7 linked regions of the Callithrix jacchus genome follow. The protein of the gene in region 6 interacts with the protein of the main gene of each other region in a pairwise test. Links are inferred from orthologs where the notes say so. Each region holds a gene or a part of one and is shown on either strand. Other genes may lie near its edges. The genes, in order: SLC38A1, TMEM11, SEC22C, SMIM14, SLC7A1, FATE1 and BNIP2.

Region 1 (3,975 bases), on a different chromosome or scaffold from region 6:
TTTTTGAATTATGATTCACCTTCCTTTTCCTGTTTTGATGAACCATGAACATGAGACTGAACCATCCCGGTCAGCAAAAAGCTCGCGTTTCCACCCCGCAAATTCATTCACTCTATAATGACAGTCTAATTGGCTGAAGCGCAGGTGGGATTTCCTGTCGCCATTTTAAGAAGACACAACTCCTATGCAAGGAAATGCCCAGACAGTGAAAGGGGGCTGTGTCTGACACAAAGAGTAAGCGGGGAAAAAAAAGGGAACCAGGCCCAGTTTCCCCCGCTCCCCCCATCCCGCTCGCTCGTCCCCCGGACTTGAAGCGCCCCAGCTCCGTTAACCTGGCGAAGGGCGCGCCAGGTCCTTCGGGTGGAACCAAGTGGGGTCACCAGGCACTCCACGACCTAGCCCCCTCCTCTTCACGCCTAGACAGGTGCTCTCTCGGCGCTCAACAAATCCTCCTGGTCGCTTCACACTCAGTTCCCAAAGCAAAGCTCCACAGGGCAGACCTCAGGGAGGGCTCGCCAGATCTGCGGGTGCTGGATCCGGAAGAGGGGAGGTGCCTCCCGTTCAGGTTAGGGACAAAGGGTTTCCAAAGGTGCCCGAATTCCCACCTCCCCCTGCCATTTCGGTCCCCTTCTCGCCAACCCGGGCCATCTGCCGGCCGTCCCCAGCGCCAACCCTCTGCTCCAACGCTACGCGTAGTCCCGGGCGCTGCCCGCGGCTCTCGGGGCTGCGCTCGGACCCGCCACTCCGGCGGCCATCCTCATGCAGCTCCCCTTCCCACAATGCAACTCCCTCGCTCCTTCGGCCCCGGCGGGGCTCTGGAGTACCCAAAACGCAGGCCCCAGCCGAACGCACAGCCCTCCTGTCCTCCGCCGGTGTCCCTTTAGCGGCCGCACCCCCATCCCTAAGGGCTCGCATTTTCCAGCTGCCATCGCCGCTGGGTTCCGAGCACGCCGCCGGGCCCTAGGAGGGCGAGGGCAGGTGCCAGGCGGCGCGCAGCCTTCTCTCCCAGTGCCACCTTCCGTGCGCCGGACACCCGCGCGACCCGCAACCCCTCCCTCACCCTTTCCCCGCTGCTCAGTCTCCGTCAGCCGCTGTAGCTGCATCGTCAGGGAGCGACGAGAGGGAGGCAACAAGGCGCGGCCGCCAGCAGTGGCACCATGTGACGGGCACGGCTCAGTGACACGCAGCTTTGGTTAAAGAGCGGGCGCACAGGAGGGGAGGAGACGGGGCGCGGGACGGGGAGGAATGGCCTGACTGTCCCCGTTCAACCATCACAAGCCGTGGTTGCTGAAGGGCGACGTGCCCCACAGTAGGAGAATGACTCCGATTCGTGACCCTCAGCGCCCGTGCTTGTCGCTGTAAGTGCGGGGCCGGAGAGCAGAGTGTGAGTGGGGGTTGCTGGTGAGGGGAGATTCTGATGCAATCGGCCCGGAAAGGAGGAGTAGAGCCGGGCGAGCGCGGACTGGGGCAGCCACGCCACTCCGCCTGAAGGTCGCCAGGAGCCTCCGCCCTTCACCTTCCTCGGAAATCCGCCAGGCCACGCCAAGCTCCCTGCCCAGCCCTCACTGACGGGGGCCACCTTTTCCCGGCGCCACAGCCAGACCTTGACACAAAGGACATCAAACTGCCGAGGGTGAAAATCCCGGAAGGGCGGACACCTTCACATCGCCTTTCGCCACCTTTCCCCTTATTTCCGGAGGTAAGGTGGTTTTCAGTTCCCGGGGAGGGCTGGGCGAGCGGCGGGGGGATGTTTAGATGTGAGAGAAGGCGGTAACGTAGAAATCATCCCTGCCGGCGTGAAAGCAGAGAAAGCATGGGCTGTGCCCGAAGCGTTTGGATGTTGCTTTTAGGAGAAGGAAAGTCCGGGTCCCCTGTGTTTCCCGAATGCACGCGGTAGCGCGAGGAAGCGCCAGGGCCCCCGAGTTGACCTTTCCGTGGGCTGTGGCTTACTTTTTGGTTTGTTTTCCTGTGGCTTTGGTCTGTTTCCCCGTGGCTGTGGCAGCGTGTGGGACTAAATGTGGTTCAATTTTTACAAGGGCCAGGAACGACGCAGGTCTGTAGCGAGAGCGCAGCTTACTTGAGGGCGCGACCGTGTTCTAGGAGTGTTTGAATCCTTAACCTTTGAGGGAAATTTCCTGTGTCCGCAAGGCCCAGAGGAGAGTGTGTGATGTCCCAGGGGTGCTGCGTGCGGTCTGCTGGGTAGCCGCCGCGGAGCATCGGTAAACGGGAGCACGTTTGCCATCCCTCCTGGTGTTCTCTGTCCCTTTGTAACGCGGGGAAATAGGAGGGCGCGGGGAGAAATTACTAAGGGATGCTTGCAGTGACTTACTGTCCTTTCCTGCCCTGAAGAGGTTTTTTTTTTCTAAAATGCAGAGCGTGACAGGGGATAGAGGTAGTGTTTTTTCTCGAGAGCCGGAATCTGCTGGAGCCAGCGAACAAAAGGCCACCTCTTGCGCGGGCTTGGTCTCAGACTGTGCTCGCTTCTAGTCCCACCTCCTCCCCAACCCCCGGCACCTAGCTAGCTTCCCTAAACATTGCCACAGAGGCCTTCAAACGCGTGGGTAGGTGTTGGGAGGAGAGCGCACCTTCGCCCTTGTGCGAGCTCCTCGCCCCCTAAATTATCTACCTCCCGGTGCATGGGGCTCCTCAGCACCCACTGGGACCCTGCAGGTTACCGGGCTGCCTGGGCACCGATTCCCTGCCAAATCGCCCGCCGGGGGTTTGTGCTAAACTGTAGTCAGAGAAGGCACAAGTGCATATGGGAGCAAAAGGAATTTCGCGGTTTCCGCGTTACGCAGTTCCCAGTGCCTTTCACAGGCTGCCTTGGTCTGGGAAAGGTGGTGCTACAATTGAGAGTCCTTTGTCTTGCTCTGCGGCGCGAACCCGGGATTTTAACAACCCTCTTTCTCCGTTAGAAACCTAACTCCCGCCAGGATCATGTACTTTCTCAGAGGAATCCACGGTGATGTGTGTAGTAAAAGTGAAAAAAGACGCCTCTGCTTGAAAACGGTATTCATTTGCGTTTGGAAGGGGTTTTGACATCTCTGCAGTGGGATTTTACATTTTTCAATATAAAGGGGAGGAGGAAAATAAATTTATGGTTTGCAGAATGCACGGCCCAGCGAGGGTGTAATTTGTCACCTTGATAAAAGAAACTGTGCAGCAACTCGTGCTTTTTCTGACGTCAGAAGGACAAGGGAAATAAAACCCGAGCTCGGTGTATGGCTGGCCTCGTTGTCAAACATCTCATGCCCGTTTGGTACTCCCGAAATCTTGCAAAACAGTCAATTCCGTTGTACTGATATGGCATAGACCCCGTGGATTTTCGTTCGACCCCAGCCTCAAAATAGCCTTGCTCTTTAGAGTCACTTCAGTTCTCAGTATGTCGTAAGCAATTGGAAACCAGCCTAGATTGGTTTGAGGTATTAATCTTGAAGTTTATTTGCTTTTTAAAAAAATGTAGCCAAGAAACATTTTCTACAGAGGGCTTACTGTGTGACTGGCAGCAACTAACAAGATTTGTTTTGCCTTCTGTGAAGTTTCTGTTCTCGGGGAGAAACAGACTATATAAATGTAGGCATATAAATTTCAGGTATTCTTAGTGCAATGAAGAAATAAAACAGGATCATGTGATGGGGTAGGATGCCTGAAATAGAGTGACTCACCAGGAGGGCCAGTGTGAGGGGATAACATTTGTCCTGAGACCGGAATGGTGGAAAGGGATCAGCTATTTTCATAATTGAGGGAAGAAAGCCAGCAGAAGGAACAGGAAGAAGGAAAAACAAGTACTTACTGCACTCTTCTTTGACTGCAATATAATTGAGCTGATGTGATGAATAGATTTTAAAGATGTTTTGGATTCTTTAAAACTATATGTATGTTGTTTACATAAAGTTTTTACAATGCTCCATGAATTAAGGCCATTTAATGAAAGGAGCACCATGATTAGAAGGTCTGACATCTGGCTGTTGCTGC
Region 2 (4,011 bases), on a different chromosome or scaffold from region 6:
ACTCACGAGGCTGAGGCGGGAGAATTGCTTGAACCCAGGAGGCGGAGGTTGGGGTGAGCCAAGATCGCACCATTGCACTCCAGCCTGGGTAACAAGAGTGAAACTCCATCTCAGAAAAAAAAAAAGACTGAATGAATGAAAGTGTAGTAAGAGAAGTAGCAGATTACTTTGAGCACCAGCTAGGACATGCCCTTCCACTGGCTACCTTCGTACAGCAGGACAGAGGGCTCACGGGAGTCTCCACTTTATGACAGCCCTCAGGAACTAATTCCCACCACTCAGGCTGTGCTCTCGGTAGGTGCTCAGCTAATACACACTGAGTCAATGAGGCTATGATCCTTCCAGACAACCTCTGTCCATTCACAGTAACCAGGAGGCAATATTGTGAGGATCTTGGCCCAAGCTGGCAAACTGGAAGCAGATGGCGATACAGAAGGTAAGGGGAGAGTAAAAGCTGGAGAAATGGGAGGGTCGTTAGGGCCACAGTTGTTTGCGCATTTACATTGACTCTGTGCACTAGACCTGCCTCCAGTGCTTCTTGAGAGGCACAATGGCAGAGTGTAATCCCTGCAACTGGTCAGTCTGGACTCAAATCCCAGCACCCTTCCCGGCTGACAGTGTGAACAAGTCCTCTGTAAGTTGATTTCCTCATTTGAAAAATGAGATTTTTGCCGGGCACGGTGGCTTACCGTAAGGTAACAAGAGTGACCTTACGGGCCGAGGCTGTGAAGGGCAGGAGGGTCGACGCGGAGGAGCCGTGCGCTAGAGGCCCGCAGACAGAGCAGTGGCCCCCTGGCCAAAGACGCGGCCTGGCAGGACGAGGCTGCAGGGCCGGGCGCCTCCACGCGGCGCTCTGGGAGTTGTAGGCACTTTCCTGTCCTCTCTCCAACTGCTACTGGCTCATGAAACCCGAGGACATACCGGCGGGTAGGCGCCGGTGACTCCCAGGCTGAGAACGCCGGGAACTTCAGTTTCTTCCTAAGTGCTCGAACCAGGACTGCTCCCCGGGGCCTCGCGCCCTCGCAGAAGGACTACCGGCCCCAGCGACCCCGGGGGCGGGGCTTCCGGCGCGCTGACTTGTGGGCGCGGTAGTTCCGCCGGGTCCGGCTTCTGCCCGCCGAGCGGCCCACGATAGCGGGCCGGACTACACTTCCCGTCGGTTCGTCTGCTCTCCCGATGCCGCCTTGGCGCGAGACGTTGGCGAGCAGAGTGTCTCCAAGATGGCCGCTTGGGGAAGGAGGCGTCTTGGCCCGGGCAGCAGTGGCGGCAGCGCCCGAGAGAGGTGAGACCCAAGGGCTTGTTGCTCCCGGTGCAGGCGGCTTAGGGACCGGAGAGCCCAGCGCGGCTTCCGGGGCCTGCACCAGGCTTCCTGCCCTGGCTCTCCGGACCCCCGCCGGGCATACGGGGTTCCAGTTCCGGAGGATCCGGGATCCGGGTGGGAGTCAGGCCGAAGGTCTCGGCGGAGAGCTTAGGGGAAGGGAGGTTACCCGAGCTGGGTAAGGTGGGCAGCGGCCATGCGGGGCGGGGCCCAAAGCCAGGCTCTGCGGAGAGGAACTGGCGCCTCGCGCAGGCCCCAGGAACCTGCCTAGCTGCCCGCGGGCCAAGCGGCGGCAGAAGCACCCTCCCCGCTTGGCCACGCGCGGGGCCATCTCGGCCGCGGCCCCCGACGTGGCGAGGAGGACCGGGCCCCCGGAGAGAGAAGAAGGGGAAGCCTTCACAGAGAAGGCCGGCCGCTGCAGGGGCAGTTTGATCCGCACGTTTACCAGGGAGCTTTAGCTCCCCATCCGCTCCATGTGTCTCTTCCGGGCCCGGAGCCGGCCACTTCCTCGAGGGGGCTATTCTGGAGACTTTTGGATTGTTCTGTGCGAGCGCTCCTGCCGTGGAAGTTCTTTAAAGTTACCTTTACTAATGAATGGTATGTCGCTAGGGAGCTAGGAGCGTGTTTCTTCAAAGGGGGACCTCCGTTTGAATAACCAATTTCTGGATGAGGTTGGAGTAGTTTCCGCATTTCATGTTGAAGTTGCAGTTTTTGCTTCTAGGTAGCAGCTTCAGCTAGTGGAAGTCACTAGAAGCTGTTCAGCCAGTAGAAGTTTGGGAGACCATGTATACTGGTGGAGCCACCTGGATTAATTATCCGCTAAAGCTTGATTGGAATAGCAGCCGTTAGCAAAAAAGGAAAGTTTGGGTTTTGCTGGGTCCCCCACTCCCCACCCCACCCCACCCCACCCCGTCTTTCTTTTGGTGAGGATTGTCTAACAGAAAAGTTCTCTTCCTCTCTACTATTCCGCATTATTCCTTTTCTATAACTGATTCCATCCTGTGTTCATTGCTATTGCTTGCAGATGGCCTTCCCAGCTAGGAAGATTATTCCTGTTTGGCAGTTGCCATAGAATCCTTTAGCTCGCCTTTTATTCTTGAGCCCGGTTATCCAACGTTGCCCATTCTGCTTTTCCTCTTCCTTGGAAAAGCAATGGCAAACACTTTCGTTTTTCTAACTCCTGCCTGGTATTTCTTAGATTGGGCTATTTAAATGAGTTACCTCACTGGTTTTCACACGCCCTTAACAAAAACATTTTCAAGATATTTAATGCAAACAGTAATAGGAAATAACGTGTTTAGAAAACTCAAAGAAATGGCCGGGCGTGGTATCTCAAGCCTGTAATCCCAGCACTTTGGGAGGCCGAGGTGCGTGGATCACGAGGTCAAGAGATCGAGACCATCCTGGGCAACATGGTGAAACCCCATCTCTACTAAAAATACAAAAAAAAAAAAAAAAAAAAATTAGCTGGGCATGGTGGCGCGTGCCTGTAATCCCAGCTACTCAGGAGGCTGAGGTAGGAGAATTGCCTGAACCCAGGAGGCAGAGGTTGCGGTGAGCCAAGATTGTGCCATTTCAGTCTGGGTAACAAGAGCGAAACTCCGTCTCAAAAAAAAAAGAAAAGAAAAATGAGATTGTTGATAATAACAGTATCACTTTTTTATTGGACAGTCTCATTCTGTTGTTCAGTCTGGAGTGCAGTGATGTGATCTCGGCTCACTGCAACCTCCACCTCCTGGGTTTGAGTGATTCTCCTGCCTAAGCCTCCTGAGTAGCCTGGATTACAGGCGCATGCCACCATACCCAGCTAATTTTTGTGTTTTTAGCGGAGATGAGGTTTCACCACGTCGGCCAGGTTGGTCTTGAACTCCTGACCTCAGGTGATCCACCTGCCTTGGCCTCCCAAAGAGCTGGGATTACAGGCGTGAGCCACTGTACCCGGCCAACAGTATCACTTTCATAGGGTTGTTGTGAAGATCAAGATGTAGATCACTCAAAATATAGAACAGCACTTGGCACTACATAATAATCAGTTGTTACTGTTACCTTGCGCTGTTTTTCTAAGTTCCATATATGTATCACCTCAGGAAATACAGCAATTCTCTGAGGGGAGGTACCATAATAATATCATCCCATGACACAAACCAGGCAGCTGAGAAACATAAGCTACACCAGCAGCCCCTGAGCCAGAAGAAGTACGTTCTGGAATCCCTAGTGTACCCTCTGAATCACCACACTGATCCAGAGAAAAGACAGGCATATCTGCAGGCAGGGTCATACTGTGGAATTGTCCAGAGGTCTCCAGCACGGGCTATACTGACACTTGGAGGCAGGGCTGTATGACCCAACTGGAAGACCAGGTACTTTCTAGACACCGGACAGGTACAAGGTCTTGAAGCATAGAAGTTGGCTGGGAGGCAAAAAAGCATTTTAGGCAAGGCATAGAACATCTGTGTACCTACAAACCCTCTGAATTTACTAGGCTGGTAAGTTCCAGACAGGAAAGGTAAGCAGTTGAATTTGGAGAGTGAGGCAATTTTCTAACTAAGGAGGGGCCTCTGGATTGTGCTGAGTAGGAATCACACACCATAGGTGATGAAGGACCGTGAGAGGATTGTAAGCAGCTAAAATTGTGGTAGAATGTGAGCTGGAAGGAAATCCAAAAGAAACCTCAACAATGAGAGGGTTGCCTT
Region 3 (4,192 bases), on a different chromosome or scaffold from region 6:
AGAATTTGCCTTTCCTCTGCCTTTTTCTTCAGTCTGCCCATATGGGATAAGGACAGACCTTCCTTACTCAGTCCATTGATTCAAATGCCAGTATCTTCTGGGAACACACTCATAGACTTACCCAGAAATAATGTCCCCCAGAGATCTGAGTATCCCTTAATCTAGTTATGTTGACACCTAAAACTAATCATTGCAACATCCTAACCAAAAGTCTCGAAGATGCCTCAAATTCATCTTGGCAAAGCTGGAGCTCTTGATCAATCTTCTCTCCTGTTCCGGTGTTCTCCATATCTGTGCATTCCTCCACCAGCCATCCATTCATTCAAGGCTGACCAGGGGCATCATGCTGGAAGCTACTTCACTGCCCCTTCACATCCAGCTCATCACCAAGTCCTGTTGATGTTGCTCCTACATTTCGCGGCAGCCTGCTTAGATCTTTCTCTTTACTCTCACCCCAGTCCACACTCCAGTTCCATTCTCTCTTGCCCAGATGACTGCACTGGCTCCCAGGCCAGTCCCACCATAGCTTTGTTGAGACTTCTCCATTTTGACACGCACTTTAGCAGCTAAAGTGTGTTTATAAAATGCAATTGTGATCGGTGTTGCATGGTCCTCAACTTGCCACTATGGCCATAAGACCCCACACGGTCCGGCCCCTTCTGCTCGCTCTAGTGGATCTCACTCCACTCCGTTGCTCTCTAAACTCTGAGTTTCTTTTCTCTTTGCGGTAGAATGTACACAACCATGTTTTAAGTGTGCGGACCTGTGGCATTTGGTACACTCACGCTGTGCGATCATCACTACTGTCCATTTCCAGAATGTTTCATCTTTTCCAGCTGAAATAGGCACGAACTCTGCACTCCGCCCTCTCCGGGTTTCTTTTCATCCCTCCAAGGAGCTTTGCTGCCTTCCTCAGGGTTCTGACATACATGCTGCTCTCTCCCCTTTGCCCAGCCGGCCTCCTGTGATTTCCACACCAGCCCAGAAGCGTCTGCAAATTCCCTCAAAACCCCTGGTCCTCCCTGAAGAGCAGTTTGTATTTATACAGGGGTTTGGTTGTTGGAAGGGTGCTCTGCCCCTCCCCTCGTCTCCCAACACAGTTTTTCCACGACGCTTGGCACACAGCAGGTGCTCAATCCTTGCTAAAGGAAGAAGCGGACGGACTCCGCCGCCTCATCTCCTCGCAGCCGGTCATCCATCTCCCGGCGCCTCCGCCCCAGCCTGGGGTGTGTCCCCCTGGGTCGGACTTTGGCGCCCCGTCCAGGCTGGCAGCGGTCGTGCTCTTTGGTCTGCCTATCTCGGGCCTCCCGCCCAGCCGCGCGGACCGCGGAACCCACGCCCCGGGCGTGTCGCTCTGTCACGCGGAACCTCCCCGCCTCCCGACGTCAGGCCGGTTACTACCCCGGCCAGGAATCGAGCTCAGACCACGAAACGTCCTCTCACCCCCGGACGTGAGAATTACCGGCTTGGACCTCAAACCGTCGCGGTGCGAGCCGGGAGGCGGGAAGAGAGTCGGGAGGCGCGCGCCGCAGCCACGCCCCGTCTCCGGCCGGCTCGCAGCTCTTTAAGAACCAGTACGTTCGCGCCTCCGCCAAGACCGGGCCGTGGAGGCGCGCCGGGATTGGTCGGTTTGGGTGCGGGCGTCGCTTAGCAGCAGCCAGTGGGGACTCAAGACTCGCGCACGCGCACCGCCGCCTACCTGCGCCTGGGCCGCCGGTGACCTGGGCCGGGGCCGCCCGGTCGGCTGAGGTGGCTGAGGAGGCGGCGGGTAGCGGGCGGGCGGGCGCCGACTTCCGAAGGCCGCCGTCGGGGCGAGGTGAGGGTTGGCGGGCGGAGGCGGGTGCCGCTGCCCGTTAGCCGAGAGCAGGCGGGGTCGGGTGTGGCGCAGGGCGGGCCCAGAGGTGGAGGCGGTGCAAGGCCCGCCCCGCCTTCAGGCCGGGCCTCGTCCATGGGGCTCCCCGCGGGGCTTCGCTGGGCTCCCTGGAGTCCTCCGTCCTCTTTCTCCCGCCAGCCTCTGCCCGGGCCCTGGGGCCACCCAAGGCGCGCGCCTGCAGGAACCCTGCGCTGGCAGACGGGCGCCCAGTTGGAAGAGATGGGGAGTGACGAAGGGGGCGACTGTGTGTTTAAGTGTCCGCGAAGCTCCCGGAGCGTTTCGCGTCTCGACAGCGGACTCCCCGTAGCGTGTCGCGACCCGGGACTTCAGATTCCCAATACACGGAGCCTCTCGGAGCGCGGGGCGCAGGCCGTTCCGTTCCGGGTCGTGTGTTCGTTGCAATTTACACGTAGACCCCCAGAGCCAGGAGGATAAAGCACTCGGGGGGCGGGGGGGCGGGATTAGGTTTGTAGCAATCCAAGCCACGAAAGACTCTTGCCAGTGGTGGGAAGTAATTGGCGAAGTTTGTGACGTGGTCGGAAAAAAAACGCAGCTCAGAACCAACAGATAGGGCAACATTTAATTACGTTTTGCAGAGAAGAGCTGATCCGGCTAAAGATAATTTTAGTAAAATGAAAAATGGAAGCAGTTGGAAGTGGTTTAACGTTGCTAGGTAGAACTGAATGAACGGTTTTCCTCTGGAAAGGGCATTTTGGACCATGTTGTTAATAGCTCTGATGTAAGTGTTTGTGTTTGCAGCAGAAGCCCTCTTGGAGTCCCAGTGGTTTTTGTTCTTAGAATAGCGTAGAAGTCACCTACATTCAGAAAGTAGCATGGTGAGAGAGAGAACAACCCGACTCCAAGGCAGTTCCGTGGGCAAAGGACAGTTGGATCAGCTGCAGCCTCAGGCTCCTTCCTCCACCAGCAGGTCTCCGATTACCTTATTAGTGTTGTAAGAAGAAGAAATTATTTTTACAAAAAAAAATTATTTTAGAGAAAAGGAGTAGCTGTAGTCCCAGAGGGTGGACTTACAGAAGCAGGATGTGATGGCAAGATGGCAGGCTTTAGGGTATTTGAAGTAAGGAAGTCTGGCTTTGAATCTGGCTCTTGAGCATTACAGCTGCAGTTTTCCTACTTCTCCAGTGCAGATTACGTCTACCTTATAGTTACAAGCATTTAACAACCGTATCAGGGTAGAAGCTACTGTCAAGTTCAGTTTCCTCCCCCTCAGTTCCCAACAAACGGCAGAACTGATCTCCACCCTCCTCTTCACTCCATCCCCAAGCAACTTGGAGCCTTAATAGAATCTACACATTTGGTCAACAGTTCTCAAGTCCTGTGGCTGAAGGTGAATTCAGTAAGGGTGACACAACTCAGTTTTGTCTTCTGTATTGTGCATTTGAGTCTTCTGTATTCTGTATATACTTTATGGTAAGTGCTTGTGTTTGAATATTTGTGTCCCAAATGAAGCCTTTGTCCAAATTCCTATTTTACAAGGTGCAGTCATCTCTCTCTCTCTCTCTCTCTCTGTACATGTGGTAGGGATTTGAGGAGGGGTTAAGGGTAGAAGGTGGAAGGAAAATCAGGAAGAGTAGCCTCCAGCATAGGCACAGAGTCTGTTGAACAGGGATAATGTATGACATGAGCAGTTTATAAACAGGTGTCAGGAAGAGGATTTAGGAAATAACGGAGGCAGATTAAAATATGTTGTTATAAAACCTAGTAACACGGATGCTGTGTATTTGATTACTACTTCACTCTACTTTTAGACAAATTTCATTTGTATAAATTTTCTTTTTTCCTTTCCAAGTACAGATTTATTGCAGAAAAGTGTTCAAAATATAGATCAGAATTATGGCAAGGGATCTGTAAACCTGCATTTCTTGTTTCAGTGAGCAACAACAAGGCAGCCCTCAGGTCATTCATTCATTTGCTTTGCAGTGTTTACTGAGTGTTTCCCAGTACGTGCCAGCAAGGTGGTAGGTAGTGACATCCACGTCCTTGCAGATGGATCCCGTAAGGTCTGAAAGACATTCTAGTGTCTCTACGAACATTCTGAAGCTGCCTTCGTCCTTGTGGAATTGATTTTTTGTTGGTTTTTGAGACAGGGTCCCACTTTGTTACCCAGGCTGGAGTGCAGTGATTCAGTCACAGCTCACACAGCCCTTCTGAGCTCAAGCGATCCTCCCACCTCAGACTCCCGAGAAGCTGGGACCACAGGTGTGCACTACCATGCCTGGCATCTTCATTTTTATTTCTTGTAGAGATGAGTGTCATTATGTTGCCCAGGCTGGTCTTAAATCCTTGAACTCAAGCAGT
Region 4 (3,989 bases), on a different chromosome or scaffold from region 6:
TCAAATCAGAGTAAGAAAGCTTGCAGCTTTCACCTCTCCGTCAAGACTGGCAAAGAGGCACTTTTGTGAAATCGTTGAGACTCACTTTTACTTCGCCACTTATCCCATTTTAATTAACGCTTGCTAATTCAAGGCTCTAAGAAAACAATACAGTTTTACATTTTGCCAAATTGGGAAATTTCCGGGGCCCCAAAAGTTTAGCAGGGAGACTCAGAGGCTAGAATGGGAGAGAAGGCAGCACCAATTTGGTCTAAAAAGAAGATTGTTCGGCCACACACAGCACCCTTATTCCAGTTCTACAACCAAAGCAACAAAGACTTGGGCCGGCTGGGTGCCTAGCCACAGCATTCCCTCCTACTTCCCCACTATCTCCTAACCAACAAGTCATCTTTGGTAACATTCACTTTATTTAGTTTGAGGCAAGGTCTTACTATCACCCAGGCTGGAGTGCAGTGGCGCGATCTCAGCTCACTGCAACCTTCGCCTCAGCCTGCAGAGCATCTGGGACTACAGGCAGGCACCACTACGCCCGGCTAATTTTTGCGTTTTTAGAAGAGAGGAGGTTTCACCCCGTTGGCCAAGATGGTCTCGCACTCCTGACCTCAAGTGATAGGCCCACCTCGGCCTCCCAAAGTGCTGGGATTACAGGCGTGAGCCACCAAGCCTGGCCACATAATCACTTTAATGTTCCTGTTGAACTTAATTTTGGTCAACCTTCCGGTGCAAAAACGTTAGGGTAAAGGGAATCAATAACTGCCACATTTGACATATTTTTGTAATCCTCATCTCCAATTTCCATCCGGGCCTGAGTGACCAAAAACACTCTACAGGGGTATCCTGTCTCAACAGACATCAATTTCTAACCACGTCTACCTCTACCAAGGTATTCTAAAGATTCTTAAGCTCAGGCAAAGGGAGACACATTAGAGAACACTCTCCGCCGCCAACGAAACAGAGGCTACGGAACATTTCCACCAACACCCGGCCTCTCCCCGTTTCCTTCTCAGCTCTCAGCCACGCCCCTCCCAACCGGAACTACATCCCCCGCGCTCCGCGCCCCCACGCAAAGCGTGGCGTAGGCGCCCGAAGTCGCTGGTGCCTGCCAGGCCTCCCGGGACGCACAGGACAGGTGCTAGTCGTGCGCATGCTCGGCAGGCGGGGCCGCTGGAGTCTCCAGGCGTGGCAATCTGTTGCGCTGCCGCCCTTGGGAGCCGGCAGATCCGGGTCTCGTGGCTAAGAGTGACGTGGTCACTCGAATCAAAACAGAGGAGGGGGAGGAAGCTGGCGGCCAGGAGCGGCAGCGGCAGCGAAGTCCGGAGCCGCCGCAGCCTTCCGGAAGCTCCAGGCGGTCTTTCTGCCGAGCCTCGGTCCCGGCCCCCATCCTCCCCGCCCCATCGATTGTTGTCTGGGCGGGTGAGTGTCTCCCCCTCTCCCACCAGCGTTTGCTGGCCCACCCTCCCCTCGCCCCAGTTTTAACTAGGGGCTCCTCAGGCTCTCGGGGACTGCGGCGGTTGCGGCGGAACCGGGCTGTTTCTCCGGCTTGGCCGTTCCTGGGCCGGGCTGGCGATTCTGCACCTGGAGAAGCCTTGCTGCTGCCCAGCCCGCAACCACCCCCCCCCCGCCCCCGCGAAAAGCCTGCAATTGAGCTTTCTCTGGAGGAAGTCTGAGTCGGGGCTTGGCAGGAAAGGGCACGGTAGCCCCGGGTGGTTTTATTTTTAGTATCAGATAGTCGACACGGGTGGAGGCGTATCATGGAGTAAAAGAGTCGGAGCTAGAAGGAAAAACTCACAGATCCCGAAATCCACAATATCTTGTTTTCCCGGCTTCCTAGCCCTTTCTGGGTACGGTGAAGTCACTGGGATGCGTCCTTTGTTGTGATAAATGAGATGAAAACGCTGCCACCCGGAAAGCGAGAGCTTTTAAGCCCCTATTGTGTCGCGAATTTAAAGGATCCCCTTTTTCTGTTTGTTCAGTAAGTGTAACCAAGGCTGACAGAACAGAGGTAGCAGCACCCTTTATTGGAACTAATAGTGTATGATAAACTGGTTACCGGCTGTATCCATGTTGCTGTTTAAAGGCAGACTTCCCCAAAGTGGCTGTTTATATGTGCTGGGATTTTAGCCGAGATGGTTTGTTGGCTGTAGAGTCAGTAGGATGTTTTCAGTTGCCCCAGTTGGCAAAACCGAGGCTGTGGCCTTAACAGAATGTCTTAGTTTTGCATCGAGAGAGTCGGATGAGCTCTATGCAAGTAATAGCTACATTTGCAGAAGAGATCTTCCAGTTTTTGTATGTTATTGTCAGAAACAGTTGGCAACTGTACATACTGTAACTTGGGAAGCGTAAGACCTCCCATGTGTTGGAGTCTTGAGACTCTTAGGAGGCATCCTCGCTGCCTAGCGCTGTGGAGGTTGTAGGAAGCTTGCATTCCCTTCCACCCAGGGTGACTGGCCGCGCAGATTCCTTTAGAGTAGCCTGCCTCCGAACTTGCCGCTCTCCGCGGCCCTCGACAGCACTGCGACCGACCAGAAAACTAAACCCTTTTGTCCTTTTTTAACATGGTTTTTAAAAAGATCACCCCCGCTCCCAGAACTCATTAATTGAGGTGTTTCTGTGGTCAACAGCAAATCCAGGAAGAGTTAGGAATTTAGATTATTTCCTTGAAGGGTATGTCCTTGTGGCATAGCATGGACCTCTTAATGAATCTTTTCTCCAGTGTTTGCCAGTGAGATCCTTATTCTTACTATCGCAGTTGGAATTCTGATTTAGAAGGAAAAAGTTTTTGAAGTTCTCTTTTTTTTCAGCTTTTTGCTTTTTATGCTAGCCTATAATATTTTTGGCTATACGAAATACTTTGTAATAGAGAAAACGTTGATAAAAGCAGATAGGATAAAGAAAAATCAATAATCGTGCCACCCAAAGTTCACCAAAATGTTAGTTTATACCCTTCTAAACTACTTTTTTGAATTTGTATATTTTATACAAATATGGTATCATACCACGTATGCTTTTCAGTACGTAAGTTGCTTTTTTTCACATTCTGTTTTTTGAGTAATAATTTGAAGTTTTGCAGATAGGGACTTTAGACCTTAAATTTCAGGGAGTATTCACTTTACAGTAGTGCCCCCTTATCCGTGGTTTCACTTTCAGGGGTTTCCGTTTCTATGGTCAACCGCCGTTTGAAAATAGAGTATTTTGAGAGACCACATTTACATAAATTTTATGATAGTATATTGTTATAAATGTTGTATTGTTAACTGTTATCAATCTCTTACTGTGCCTAATTTATAAATTTTATAGGTATGTATAGGAAAAAAGCATAGTCTCTATATATAGGGTTCTGTACTATATGAGCTTCAGGCATCCACTGGAGAGGTATTTGTTTTATAATTTTTTAATTTAATAGAGATGAGATCTCACTGTGTTGCCCAGGCTTGTCTCATACTTTGAGCTCAAGTGATCTTCTGGCCTTGGCCTCCCAAAATGCTAGAATTACAGGCATGACGAGCCACCAGGCCCAGCCCACTGGGGTTTCTTTGAATGTATACTTTGTGGATAATGGGGCACCACTCTATGTTTGCCAAACCATAATGATTAAAAGGATGGTTTTAAAAGGTTTCCTCACAAATCTCTATGATAATGTAAACTTTAAGAAATTAGACCATTCGTGGTGGCTATTGCCTGTAATCCCAGCACTTTGGGAGGCCGAGGCAGGTGGATCATGCACGTGAGGTTGGGAGTTTTCGAGACCAGCCTGACCAATGTGGAGAAACGCTGTCTCTACTAAAAATACAAAATTAGCTGGGCATGCTGGTATATATCTGTAATCCCAGCTACTTGGGAGGCTGAGGCAGGAGAATCATTTGAACCTGGGAGGCAGATATTGCAGTGAGCCGAGATCATGCCATTGCACTCCAGCATGGGCAACAAGAACAAAACTCTGTCTCAAAAAAAGAAGAACAAGGAAAAAAGCAATTAATATGCATTGCATG
Region 5 (3,500 bases), on a different chromosome or scaffold from region 6:
CAGGCTCGGCCCTCCGACCAGCCACATACAATGATTTACTCCAGGACGCTTGGAGTTTTAAAAATAAATTGATCCAATTAAATCACACAAACAGAATTTCTCAAATCCGTCAGCCTGCAGCCACATTCCTCTGGCTCTTGGTGCCAAATAGGATCCTGGTGTTCCTGCTTTCTATTTCTGTCCTTCTTTTTAGCTCCTTATACGTAGTTTTGTGGGAAGTGGCCTAGTATCTTTAGCATCTGAGGGCCACTGCCACTTCTCTCAGGGTATTCCTCGGGGTTGCTCATGGCGGAGTTCCTGTTGCCTGGAAACAGACCACGGAGGGTGTTCTCCAGAAGCAAGAGCAGGAGGTGACCTTCCCAGTCTCTCCTCTTCGTCTGCAGTGTGCAGCCTCTGACTATCTCCTTCCCATTTCATACCTCATGTCCCAGGCAGCTAACTTTGTAGTTTTATAGAAACTAACTTTGCAGAACGTGGGTTGGTGCATTGCCCTTTTGCTCTAAGTGGATAATGGTTGGTCACACAATACATTTCTTCCCAGGTATCAGCCAGAGCAACCTAACCTGGTATACCAGATGGCCAGTACTTCCGATGAGTTAGATCATGCAGACCAAAATGAGCTGACTAGCACCAGTGATTCCCAGTTGGGTTTTTTACCGGAGGCAGAGATGTTCTCCTTGAAAACCATACTCTCACCCAAAAACGTGGAGCCTTCCAAAGTCTCTGGGCTAATCGTGAACATTTCAACGAGCCTCATAGGTAAGAGCTAGCCCTTCCCTGGGGCCTTGCTTGCTGGCATTGCGTGGTTTCTAGGCAGTGGAGCTGGAGTTGGGGGAGGGTGCCAGAGAAGACGAGCGTCTGCCTTGCTCCTGGACTGAGGCATAGTTACTCTGTGCTAACTGCTGTTGATGCCTTCGGAAATGGAGCCTCTCTCTCCCCAAGTTTTGGGGAGAGCAGCACATGCTTGTGGGAAACTGAGAAATGGCTGAGTTGCAGCTCGCTCTGTCTCTTCTTCCCCCTTAGCTGTTCTCATCATCACCTTCTGCATTGTGGCCGTGCTTGGAAAGGAGGCTCTCACCAAAGGGGCGCTGTGGGCAGTCTTCATGCTGGCAGGGTCTGCCCTCCTCTGTGCTGTGGTCACGGTCGTCATCTGGAGGCAGCCCGAGAGCAAGACCAAGCTCTCATTTAAGGTGAGCAGCTTGGCCTAGTGGGCCTGTTGCAGGGAAGGAACCCTGGTACACAGACCCCAGCTCTGCACAGGCTCAGCTGGGCCCGGGTGCCCGACGAAGGTTTTAGCCGGCTAGTTCAGGCACTGGGACAGGGGCCCTGAAGGCACCGAGAGGACTGGACCCTCCTCCCCTGGCTCTCCGGTGGTGGGCCGCTTCTTGTAAATGCCTGCCCAGGTTGATTGCACTTTTCCAAGCCTTGGAGACAGGCAAGGCTTCTACATGTTTAGATTACACAAATAATAAAAAAGACCTTAGAGGTAAAATGGAGGTCCATCTTCTAGGTCCTTTCTTTAGTGGGAGAATCATAAGAGAGAAAAATCAGAATGGAGCTCACTTGGCACTCAGAGCTTAGAACCAAATCCCCACCTACTAGGATTTACCCTTGGGTTTGTGTGTGGAGTGGGGGTGTTGGGGTGTGGTGGTGGGCACGCACCCTCTCTTCCCCACGCTCACCCGACAGTCCCCATCACTCTCAGGTGTGCTGCCTTTTGCTAGACAGTGTTACTGAACTGTTGGAACTGGCGCCACTGCCGCGGATTGATGCCACCTCCTGTCTCTGCAGGTTCCCTTCCTGCCAGTGCTCCCCATCCTGAGCATCTTCGTGAACGTCTATCTCATGATGCAGCTGGACCAGGGCACCTGGGTCCGGTTTGCCGTGTGGATGCTGATAGGTATGTGATGCTGCCGCCAGCACGTCCACGATCCTGGCTTCTCTTGGGGGCCTCCCTTGTTTCAGGATTTATAACACAATGACACACATGCAGTCAGCAGCTTTCTCAGAGATAATGCTGAATCCCTGGTAGGTTGTGAGTCCTCTCCTCCCTGTTAGATACTTTTTGTTTCCATTGCCTCTTGCCCAAACTTTTTATTCTGTTGGGTAAGACCTTGATATTAACAGGAACAAGGTGAGGAGTCAGCTAGAGATAAGGTACCAGTTATTTTCACCCCAGACAGGAAAGTCTGGCCTGTGTCTTTTGGACCCCTGGCCTGCCCAGCACCAGATTGGTATGGGCACGAGGCCCAGGCAGGGGTGGCTGTCATGGGCTCCTCTGTGATGGCGTCTTCTCTGTGAAGGACGGTGCTTTGGAGCCTATGGGTCATGCCACTGGGGTAGGGGCTTCCACGTGAGATAGATCACCAGGGCTGGGTGCAGCCTGTAGGGCTGGCCGAGTCCCACCCCTCTGGGCATCTCACCCCAGGGGCTGGAGGGGAGGGACTCATTTCCTTCCTCTCAGCATCTGAGTGGTAGTGCTGATAGCCAGGGATGTGGTCCTTGCCATTGCCCCTCAGGACCATGTCCCCACAGCCTCCCAGACCCGTATATGCATGCTGTGGGCAGATGGCTGCTGCCTCATCTCCTAGGACCCTTGAGGGGTGCTTTTCCTCCAGGAAACACTTAGCGGCCCATTTTCTGCTGGCACCAAGGTGGGTCCTCATTCTCTGCAAAGTGCAGCCCATGTCTAGTTAGACATCTCCTAGAGCGTTTCTGAGAAAACGCTGCTCACAGCCCACTGTGGTCATTTCCGCAGGGCCTGGTGAAGGCAGAGGGTACCTTTTCCCAACGTCCCTGTAAAGTCCCCGTGTTCAGGAGCCTGAGCTCCTTTCCTGGGTTCTGCGTGTCTGAGTCCTTGCTTTGAGGCCTGCTTTCCTGTGTCAACCACACAAGGTGGCCCTGGGGCCATCTGGCCACAGTCCCCGGGCAGGTGGTTAGAAGCATAGGTCCTGGACCCACCCGAGTCCTGGATGCAGGAACAGGCTGTGGACTCCTGCGTGAAGTCCGTTCCCAGGGCTCAGTGTGTTGCAGTCCGTTCCCAGGGCTCAGGATGTCTCTTACAGTCTGATGGTCAGTTGCATGGAGGAAACGGGGCAGTGGGATTGTCCAGGCTGAGAGCCTGGAGACCTCCAGCACCTGCGGGAAATCCCGTCTCCATAGTGTACATCCCTGATACTCTTGTGGCCTCAGGGGGCATTAGGGGGTTAAGGTGAAGGACCCAATGGCTTCTGGTGGCCCTGGCCCAGCTGCTCTGTCTGCTCAGGAAACGCCGCAGCGTGAGGCCATCCGGAGGAATGTAGGGCTTTGCCAGATGTAGAGGCAGACAGTGGTTTTCATGTGGCAGCTGTTCCAGATGTGGAAAGGTCCCGAGGGCTGCTGGCTGTGGGCTCATGCCAGGCAGGAGCAGGCCGCCTGAGAGGGTTTGCTGTGGGGCTGCCCTGGGCTCTAAGCCCTGCCCGCGGTGGTGTAGCCAGCACTCTGTTCACACCCATCTCTCC
Region 6 (4,191 bases):
GGCAGCTTGATTTGGCTTCTGTCTTTGGACACAGGAAGCCAGATCAACATCTGACCTATTTTTATTCCCAGGAAATCTTTAAACCTGGAAGCCTTTTTTCTCAATCTTCCCTGGGGCCATCCAACAAATCATTTCAGCAATCAAGTCTCCCTCCCTTTCCCAGTAACTTCCAAACTTTTCTGTGGTAACAGTAAAAACCACCATTTTCTAAAATTTTATTAATTTTTCCTCACCAACCTGAATGTGGTGAAAAGCATTGGCTACAGAAAGATGGGATTTGTGATTCCCTAAAGCAGTCAGGTCTCCCTTCTCTCCAAAATAAATGCCTTTTTCAGTATCCTTTGCGACAATGTGGCCAGCATCTTTCTAGAACATTCAACATCCACAGTGAATGTAGCTTAAAGAATTGGCCACAGAACCGTGGGACTCACATTATTTCCTGGAGCAGTCAGTCCTCCCTCCCTCTCCAATCCTGTTGCCTTTTCCCAGCAGCCTTTGCAACAGCATATCAATTTTTCTAAAACTTTCCCTTACCCACAGTGAATGTAGCTAGCTAAAAGGATTGGCTACAGAACTGTGGAACTCACCTAATTCTCCAGAAGAGTCAGAATTCCCTCTCCCTCCAAAATGACTGTTTTTCTCAATATCATTTGCAGCAGTATAGCCACTATTTGTTCTAGAATATTTCTTCACCCATATTGAATGTAGCTTAAAAGCATTGGCTACAAAATTGTCAGATTCACTTCACTGGATTTCTTCCTTTCTTCCTTGCTTCTTCTCTCTCTCTCTCTCTCCCCCACCCCCTTCTTTCTTTTTACAGAGTCTCTCTCTGTTGCCCAGGCTGGAGTGCAGTAGCATGATTTTGGCTCATTGCAACCTCTGCCTCCTGAGTTCAAGCGATTCTCATGCCTCAGCCTCCTGAGTAGCTGGGATTACAGGCATGTGCCACCATGCCCAGCTAATTTTTTTATTTTTAATAGAGATGGGGGTTTCACCATACTGGCCAGACTGGTCTCGAACTCCTGGCCTCAAGTGATCTGCCCATCTCCTCCTCTCAGAGTGCTGGGATTACAGGCATGAGTCACCATGCCAGGCCACTTGACTGGATTTCTTAACAGCCAGAAAGGATAGGAGCCTCACCTGACTTATTGTGTGTATACACACACGTGTACCACACACATAATTTTAAATACAGGAAAGCATTATTTCACGCAATAGATTTACAAAGTAAAGTATTTATTTACTCCCTAAGCAATATTTGTTTCAAGAATTCCGAACTCCCAAGGTTGAACCTCTAGTATAGGAAAGGATGACCGTGACCTTTAACTGGACCTTCCTTTCCTCATTTGCCAGCTCGGAACACAGGAGCTTTCTCTTCCTCCCAAGTCAATGTCTAGCCCTGACTGACCTGGTGAGGCAAGAGCCCCTACAAACAGTACTCCCAATCCCAACCTGGCCACCTTATGCTGAGGACCCCATACAGTACCATTTTCTTGGGCCGGGTGGCAGTCATATTCCAAACTGGTTTGGCTTCAGCAGAGCCTGCAGCTTTTGATTCCACCTTCTGCCTCTTCTGGGGGACACTGAGGGACCGAGATCTATGATCCATCACTTCTAGAGAGAAGAACAGAGGCCTCAGGAGCACCCACAGAAGTTATACCAGGGCTTTTTGGACACGAAACACAGCATAAAAGAAGGCAGAGGCCACAGCCTTCTCGGGAATCACTCAACACCCGTTCAACACTATCCACCAGCTGATCCCAGGCCTCAGTTTGTTCATTTGTTCAAAAGTTAATCAAGCATTTCCTGATGGCTGAGCTCGAGACTAGGTTACTCTCTATTCACTTAGAAAGCAATGATCAAGAACAAGATTCCAGCTCTCAAAGAACTGACCATCTGTTTGTGTATAAGGGGGAATGACAGGTGTACAGCAGAAAGTAATCTATCCTCGCAAATGCAGACAGAGAGACACAGGCTCCATAAACGATCAAAACATGGTAACATAGTAGAAGGAAAGGGCTCCCTCTAAAAAGTAGGAGACAAAAACTGAAGCAGGGACCTGAAAGAAATAAAGGACCCAGCCCTGGGAAATTGAGGGAAAGCACATTCCAGACAGAAGAAACAGCAAATGCAAGGTCTTTGGGGAATAAGCACGCTTGCAGCATTGTAATAACAAACATAAATGCAGTGTGATCTTGGCCCTTTTGTGAGCTATAGAAATGATATTTTCTGTCTATATCATAGCATGAAATGTTTTGAGGAGGCTGATACTATCTTATAGACTGTGGAGTTTGGACTTTCCTCTGAAGGGCAGGGAAATGAATTAGAGCATTGGGAGAGAGAATTGATCTCTGATCTTGTAATTTGAGCTCTCTGAGTATTTTGCAACAGACATGGTGGTGGCTTGGACAAGTGGGAGACAGTAGGAAAAATGCTCCCTTTTCCCTACCTCCCTTATCATCAACCCACAAATCCTCGAAGCTCCCCAACACACACATGTGCAAACACTTCCTTGCACACATGCACCTTTTCCAACACACACATGCACAGGTATAGACACGTATCTACAGAGTTGGCTATAGCCAAGTGGTATTTTAGAGGATCCTCACCTGCTATCCCCAGGTGCTCTTGGTTTTGCCCTTGGCTTCCATGATTCAGTTCTTCAGCCAGGGATATTTCTACCTCCTCCCTGGTGCTGATAGGGCCTCCTGCCATCATAACCAGCTGTTCACTTGTAAGCAATGGCTAAAAATGTGCAGGGTGCCAGAAACAGAGGAGTCACACTCAGAAAATCGCCTCTTCCAGGGACAGGAGCTCAAGGAAGATATAGTAGGACCTGGGGGTGGAGTGACACTCCCTCTCTAGGCTGAGGCCTTGGACTGAGTACCTTCTGTTCCCATTGTATCTAATTGGTTGGGTCCATGGCGTTCTCCCCTGCAACTCTGTAAGCAGCTTAGAAGAGATACAACTCCAAGCTTTTGCCTGTGAGAACTGCTCTGGCTCATGGATCTCCAGATTTAGCTCATGGGGGATCCCATCATCATTTCTAGGCAGATGCAAGGATTGGCACAGGGTCCAAGAGCCACACAGTGGCCACAGCAGAGTTAGGTCCTAGCAATCCAGGCCATACCATGCCTTCAAAAGGGATTCTCTGGAGAGCATATCCTACCTCCCATATCCAGAGTCCCCAAACACAGGAGGCAGCCTTTTTCTGAAGTCGGTCAGCCTAGGCAGGAGCCATGAGAACCAAAGGAGGGAAGGGTGAAAGAGGTGTGACCTGACTGCAGCCACTAGAACCCCAAGGGCCTCAGGCCCTGCACCTTCTAAGTTCCAATTCTCCCTCAGCTTACCTACTGACTAGACCACTGTGATGGTCAGGTTTATGAGTCACCTGGGCCAGGCACTTGCCCCTGGTGATTCCATCAAACACCGTGTAGGTGTTGCTGATGAGGCAATTTGTAGCTGTGATTGGCATCTACAACCAGTGGACTTGAAATAAAGTAGAGACTCATCCTCGATGATGTGGGTGGGTCTCACGCAATCAACTGAGAGGCCTGAAGAGCAAAGACTGAGGTTTCCAGAGAAGAGGCATTTCAACCCCAAGACTGCAGGGTCAACTCTTGCCTGAGTCTCCTGCCTGCCGGCCTGTCCTGTACATTTCAGACTTGTGAGGCCCACAGTCACATAAGCCAATTTCTTAAAATAAATTTCTCTATATTTGTGCATATGTAGATACATACATACATACATACATACATACATACATACATACATATATCCTATCAGCTCTGTTTCTCTGAAAACCCTGATTGCTACAACCACCAATGCTGAACCCTTCATTTAGGAAACAACCCCAGAGCCCCTGGGGTAATAGGAGGCTATTTGTAAAAGGAATCCTTTATAAACCTGTCCTGGTTCCTTTTCCAAATAGCCTCCTCTTCCCCCAGAGTCCCTGGGCCAAGTGGGAGGAAGAGGTGGAAGAAAGGAGGAAAAGAGGGAGGGAGGAAGGGAGGAAGGGAGATAGGTAGAAAGGGAGGGAGGGAGGGAAACAGAGAAGAAGGGGCCAGGACTAGCTGAGATAGGGCTGCTTGGTCTGAGACTGACTGCCCCCTGCCCCCATCTCACCTGTCCAGTGCTGGGGCCGAGCTCTTGGGAAGCAGAGCTGATGTAGTCCCTGCCTGCATTCCTGGG
Region 7 (4,092 bases), on a different chromosome or scaffold from region 6:
GTATGGTCTGATTTGAATAGTTTACTTTGAGTACTCCGACCATGGTCTGTAGACCTGGGCTTTTCTGAGAACTGTTTGTAAATAGACTACAGAGAGATAGTAGAAAACTCTATAGCAATTTTCCGGGTAATTTTATGGATGTTAACCCTAACGATAAAAAGTTTACATTTGGACTTTGTGTGTCTTTTCATTTGTCTGTTTTATCAACTAATTGAAAATTTTTAAAAATTAATATATCATTCCCCACATTAAAGAGAAGCACTGCTGCAAAGCTGTTCACACTCGAAATTACCAAACTCCAAGGACGCTTCTGAGGCCTAGCTCCCCAAAATGAAGTCTCGGATATTTTTCCTCCCCTTATTTCTTTTCTTTTCTTTCTCTTTTTTTTTTTTTTTTTTTTTTTTTGAGATGGCGTTTTTGGTCTGTTGTCCCAGCTGGAGTGCAATGGCATGATCTCCGCTCACTGCAAACTGTGCCTCCTGGGTTCAAGTGATTCTCCTGCCTCAGCTTCCTGAGTAACTGGAATTATTGGTGTCCACCAGCACGTCCCAATAATTTTTGTATGTTTAATAGAGGTGAGGTTTCACCATGTTGTCCAGGCTGGTCTTGAACTTTTTTTTTTTTTTTTTTTTTTTAAGACGGGGTGTCACCATGTTGGTCAGGCTGGTTATGAACTCCCAACCTCAGGTGATCCACCCACCTTGGCCTCCAAAGTGAGCCACTATGCCCGGCCTGGTCTTGAACTGTTGACCTAGGGTGATCCACCCGCCTCAGCCTCCTAAAGTGCTGGGATTACAGGCGTGAGCCACCTCGCCCGGCCTCCTCCCCTTATTTCATTCATTTTATAATTCACATTGTTCACATTATTATTGAGCGTTGATAATTGCACCTATCGTAATGATACTGACACTTGCCCCTGTTGTTATAAAATTGCTATTGGTAATTGCACCTATTGCATTATAATATATTGATAGGGATAATTTCACCTACTGTAATGTTCCATAAAGAGAGGCAAAAAGAAAACAAAAATGACGGAGACTACAGGGCAGCGTCCCAGCGCACAACAAAGAAGAAACGCCTCGAGGCGCGGTAAACGCCACCAATAAGGACTCGAAGCGACGGGTCTGCCCAGAGGCGAGGAAGGCTGACGCGAGCGACAGCCCGGGCGGTCTGAGTGGGCCAGGGGGGTGCTGTGTGGGTTTCTAGGGGACGCCACGCCTCCGCCACCGCCTCCTCCGCTGCCGCGCCCGGAGGACGTCGGAGTGACGTCACTTCCGTCTGGATCTCTCACTGCTTCCGGGTCAGCTGCCGCCGTCGCCGCTGTGCCGCTGCGGCCGGGGGATTGGGCCGGGGTCTCCACCGCCGACCGAGGGGAGCGGGCTCCGCTCGGCGCCGCTTTTTGCGACCTGGCCGTCAGCCCCACGTCGCCGGCCTGGAGGGGCGAGGAGGACGAGGGGGCCAAGGCTTCCTCCGGGGTGAGTGCGGCCTGGGGGGACTCGGCACGGTGGCTCCGGAGCCGGTCTGGAACCGGCCTAGGGGCGCAGGTTTGTCGGGCGCTTACCCAAGACGCCCGGGGAGAGGAAACGCAGAAGGTTACCCGTGGTAGGGGGCGCCATAGAACCTGCTCGGGAGGTGCTTCCTGGATCCCCGCCCAGCGTAGGTCCCCGCCCTTGGCTCGGGTCCTGTTTGTATTTGGCAGTTGGGCCCCCACCCCACCCCTTTTCCGTTTCTGGTAGTTGTGCTCGGGATAGAACCTTGTGCCTCCCCCTCTCCCCCACCTTTACCCCGGTGTGGGTGAAGTGGCTGGGCCACGATGGTTCAGTATTTATGACCAGCGTCCGCCCTGGTGCAGAACAAAGAAACTTGGACTTCTGGTACGCCTTGTAACCTCGGGGAATAGACACGGGAGCAGCGTAAGAAATCCGGGCTTTATAGATCTTCCCGAGCGCGCTAAACCAAATCTAGAGTGTGTACGTCAAACGTCCAGTCCCCGCTGGGATCCCGACACCACCTTTTCTGTTTAAATACCTGGCACAATGGTTTGCATTTCTGGATGCATCTCTTGCCGCTGGAGAGTTACTTGTCTATCCTGTGAGCTCTTGGAGGGCACAGCTTTTGCCGTGTTCATCAAGATAGGCACAGTCTCCTGTTTCATCGAATGAATTATCTGATTGCATTTTAGTGTTGCTTTTTTCATTCTCACTTTCTCTTGATTAGGATCTCTGTCTCTCCTAATACCTGATTTCTTATTTTCAGTTAAATGTGTTATTTTTCTAACATTTTACTGGCATATCTGCAGATGTAGAAACAAATACTGTACTTTGTGAATGGATGTTTCCTCAGAATTGCAAGTGACGACGTTACCCAATTAAGTTACCCTTGCACACTAGTTTCTTGATCATTTTGCACATACTCGTCTTAGTTCTTGTTATTTTTCGGTTTCTCTAAACTCTATTCCTGGTCTTCATAATCTGTAGTGCAGCCTAACATAGTTGGGCTTAGACAGGAAGTATGACAGATCGATTTCTGCAAACGGAACTTGAACTGGATTATCATAAGTCAGTGCTATTATGGTCTTCAGGCATTACAATATCTTTGAAGCTAAGTGCCACCAAATCGGGCACTACGGGCTTATTCTGTATGCAGCTGCCAATGCATTGCAGACGGTGCGCTGTATTAGAGGCAGTTCTGGACTAGGTAGGTGGACCAGGATGTGGTTCCTCACATGTAAGATAAACTGAAGATAACACAAGTGTCATGCATCGCAAAGTGACTGGTTGGAACATGAGATGATGGATATCAAAGGGGTTAGTAAATGTGAAAAGCACTCTGGAAAAATTCTGTTCGATCTGGAGTAATGCTGGTAGAAGGAACAATAGGGAGAAGGGTGTCGGAGAAAGCATGTGTAACCAGATCCAGGAAGTCAAAGTTGGCTGGTAGGATCAAAGATGTCTTGTTACTTTGGGCGGCCAAGACAGCGGATCACCGGAGGTCGGGAGTTCGAGACCAGCCTGGCCAACATGGTGAAACCCCATCTCTACCAAAAATACAAAAATTAGCCGGGCCTGGTGGTACATCCCTGTAATCCCAGCCACTGGAGAGACTGGCACAGCAATCACTTGAACCTGGGAGGCAGAAGTTGCAGTGAGCTGACATTGCAGCACTGCACTCCAGACTGGTTCAGCGTGGGCTACAAAGTGAGACTGTGTGTGTCCCCGAGCCGCCACTCTGGTGGAAAAAAGAAATGCCACGTTGTGTTCACATGCTATGAAGCAAAATACTAGTGTAATACGATGATAGTAATATTCCACGATTATAGTTTTATGTTACAATTAATTTTTCTGACTACAGCAAACTAAGGTCTCAGCATTTTCTGTATGTTCTGCAATGATAATTCAGTAAAGGTCACTTTCGTAGGCAGCACCATCGTCTTTTGCTTTATTTTCACCATTTTGAGAGAAGTCATCGCCACTCTAGTTTTTCCTCTTACATTTTTGTTAACGTTTATTTTATTTATTTATTTATTTATTTATTTTTTGAGATGCAGTCTTGCTCTGTCACCCAGGCTGGAGTGCAGTGACTCGATCTCTGCTCCCTGTAACCTCTGTCTCCTGGGTTCAAGCGATTCTCCTGCCTCAAGATTACAGGCAGGCACCACCATGCTTGACCAATTTTTGTATTTTTAGTAGAGATGGGGTTTCTCCATGTTGGCCAGGCTGGACTCAAACGCCTGACCTCAGGTGATCGGTCCACCTCAGCCTCCCAAAGTGTTGGGATTACAGGCGTGAGCCACCGTGCCTGGCTTGTGTTAACATTTCTGATAGAGCATCTTATTTTATTGTTTAAAAACGATATACCCCTCCCCTCATGGAAGCAATGACAAGCAAGTATATAGGATTTTTCTAAGGATGTTTGGTGATCGCCTAAATGTACAGGCTGTTCGTTAAAAAGTGAACAGAAATGTTTAGAATGAAACCATTTTGTTTAAATGGGGAAGTGAAAGACTTGCCTGGGCATTTCCATCTGCCACTGTAATTGATTTCAGCATAAATAGTCGTTTCTGGCACGTATTGGAGCAGCACTGTTAAACTG

What was found.
Region 1: the proteins of FATE1 (region 6) and SLC38A1 interact in binary tests that used the Homo sapiens proteins (3 or more experiments, as listed by UniProt). The two-hybrid records come from large-scale screens. The link is inferred for Callithrix jacchus from reciprocal best matches to the Homo sapiens genes FATE1 and SLC38A1.
Region 2: the proteins of FATE1 (region 6) and TMEM11 interact in binary tests that used the Homo sapiens proteins (3 or more experiments, as listed by UniProt). The two-hybrid records come from large-scale screens. The link is inferred for Callithrix jacchus from reciprocal best matches to the Homo sapiens genes FATE1 and TMEM11.
Region 3: the proteins of FATE1 (region 6) and SEC22C interact in binary tests that used the Homo sapiens proteins (3 or more experiments, as listed by UniProt). The two-hybrid records come from large-scale screens. The link is inferred for Callithrix jacchus from reciprocal best matches to the Homo sapiens genes FATE1 and SEC22C.
Region 4: the proteins of FATE1 (region 6) and SMIM14 interact in binary tests that used the Homo sapiens proteins (3 or more experiments, as listed by UniProt). The two-hybrid records come from large-scale screens. The link is inferred for Callithrix jacchus from reciprocal best matches to the Homo sapiens genes FATE1 and SMIM14.
Region 5: the proteins of FATE1 (region 6) and SLC7A1 interact in binary tests that used the Homo sapiens proteins (3 or more experiments, as listed by UniProt). The two-hybrid records come from large-scale screens. The link is inferred for Callithrix jacchus from reciprocal best matches to the Homo sapiens genes FATE1 and SLC7A1.
Region 7: the proteins of FATE1 (region 6) and BNIP2 interact in binary tests that used the Homo sapiens proteins (3 or more experiments, as listed by UniProt). The two-hybrid records come from large-scale screens. The link is inferred for Callithrix jacchus from reciprocal best matches to the Homo sapiens genes FATE1 and BNIP2.

Annotation. Positions count from the first base shown.
Region 1 is NC_133510.1:28,969,213-28,973,187, forward strand, and holds the start of SLC38A1 (sodium-coupled neutral amino acid symporter 1), read left to right. Parts: upstream 1-1,175; 5' UTR 1,176-1,699; intron 1,700-3,975. Other genes in the region: uncharacterized protein LOC103795192, read right to left, coding at 640-915. UniProt on the Homo sapiens protein: Symporter that cotransports short-chain neutral amino acids and sodium ions from the extraccellular to the intracellular side of the cell membrane. The transport is elctrogenic, pH dependent and driven by the Na(+) electrochemical gradient.
Region 2 is NC_133506.1:64,771,995-64,776,005, forward strand, and holds the start of TMEM11 (transmembrane protein 11, mitochondrial), read left to right. Parts: upstream 1-1,211; 5' UTR 1,212-1,220; coding exon 1,221-1,282; intron 1,283-4,011. UniProt on the Homo sapiens protein: Plays a role in mitochondrial morphogenesis.
Region 3 is NC_133518.1:80,324,041-80,328,232, reverse strand, and holds the start of SEC22C (vesicle-trafficking protein SEC22c), read left to right. Parts: upstream 1-1,392; 5' UTR 1,393-1,574; intron 1,575-1,677; exon of another isoform or gene 1,678-1,816; intron 1,817-3,016; exon of another isoform or gene 3,017-3,221; intron 3,222-4,192. UniProt on the Homo sapiens protein: May be involved in vesicle transport between the ER and the Golgi complex.
Region 4 is NC_133504.1:154,165,133-154,169,121, forward strand, and holds the start of SMIM14 (small integral membrane protein 14), read left to right. Parts: upstream 1-1,189; 5' UTR 1,190-1,413; intron 1,414-1,789; exon of another isoform or gene 1,790-1,894; intron 1,895-3,989.
Region 5 is NC_133506.1:148,722,719-148,726,218, reverse strand, and holds part of SLC7A1 (high affinity cationic amino acid transporter 1), read left to right. Parts: intron 1-541; coding exon 542-759; intron 760-1,023; coding exon 1,024-1,190; intron 1,191-1,791; coding exon 1,792-1,900; intron 1,901-3,500. UniProt on the Homo sapiens protein: High-affinity, low capacity permease involved in the transport of the cationic amino acids (arginine, lysine and ornithine) in non-hepatic tissues.
Region 6 is NC_133524.1:148,013,389-148,017,579, reverse strand, and holds the start of FATE1 (fetal and adult testis-expressed transcript protein), read right to left. Parts: upstream 2,801-4,191; 5' UTR 2,719-2,800; coding exon 2,610-2,718; intron 1,615-2,609; coding exon 1,487-1,614; intron 1-1,486. UniProt on the Homo sapiens protein: Involved in the regulation of endoplasmic reticulum (ER)-mitochondria coupling. Negatively regulates the ER-mitochondria distance and Ca(2+) transfer from ER to mitochondria possibly implicating it in the regulation of apoptosis.
Region 7 is NC_133509.1:6,442,726-6,446,817, reverse strand, and holds the start of BNIP2 (BCL2/adenovirus E1B 19 kDa protein-interacting protein 2), read left to right. Parts: upstream 1-1,292; 5' UTR 1,293-1,475; intron 1,476-1,714; exon of another isoform or gene 1,715-1,874; intron 1,875-4,092.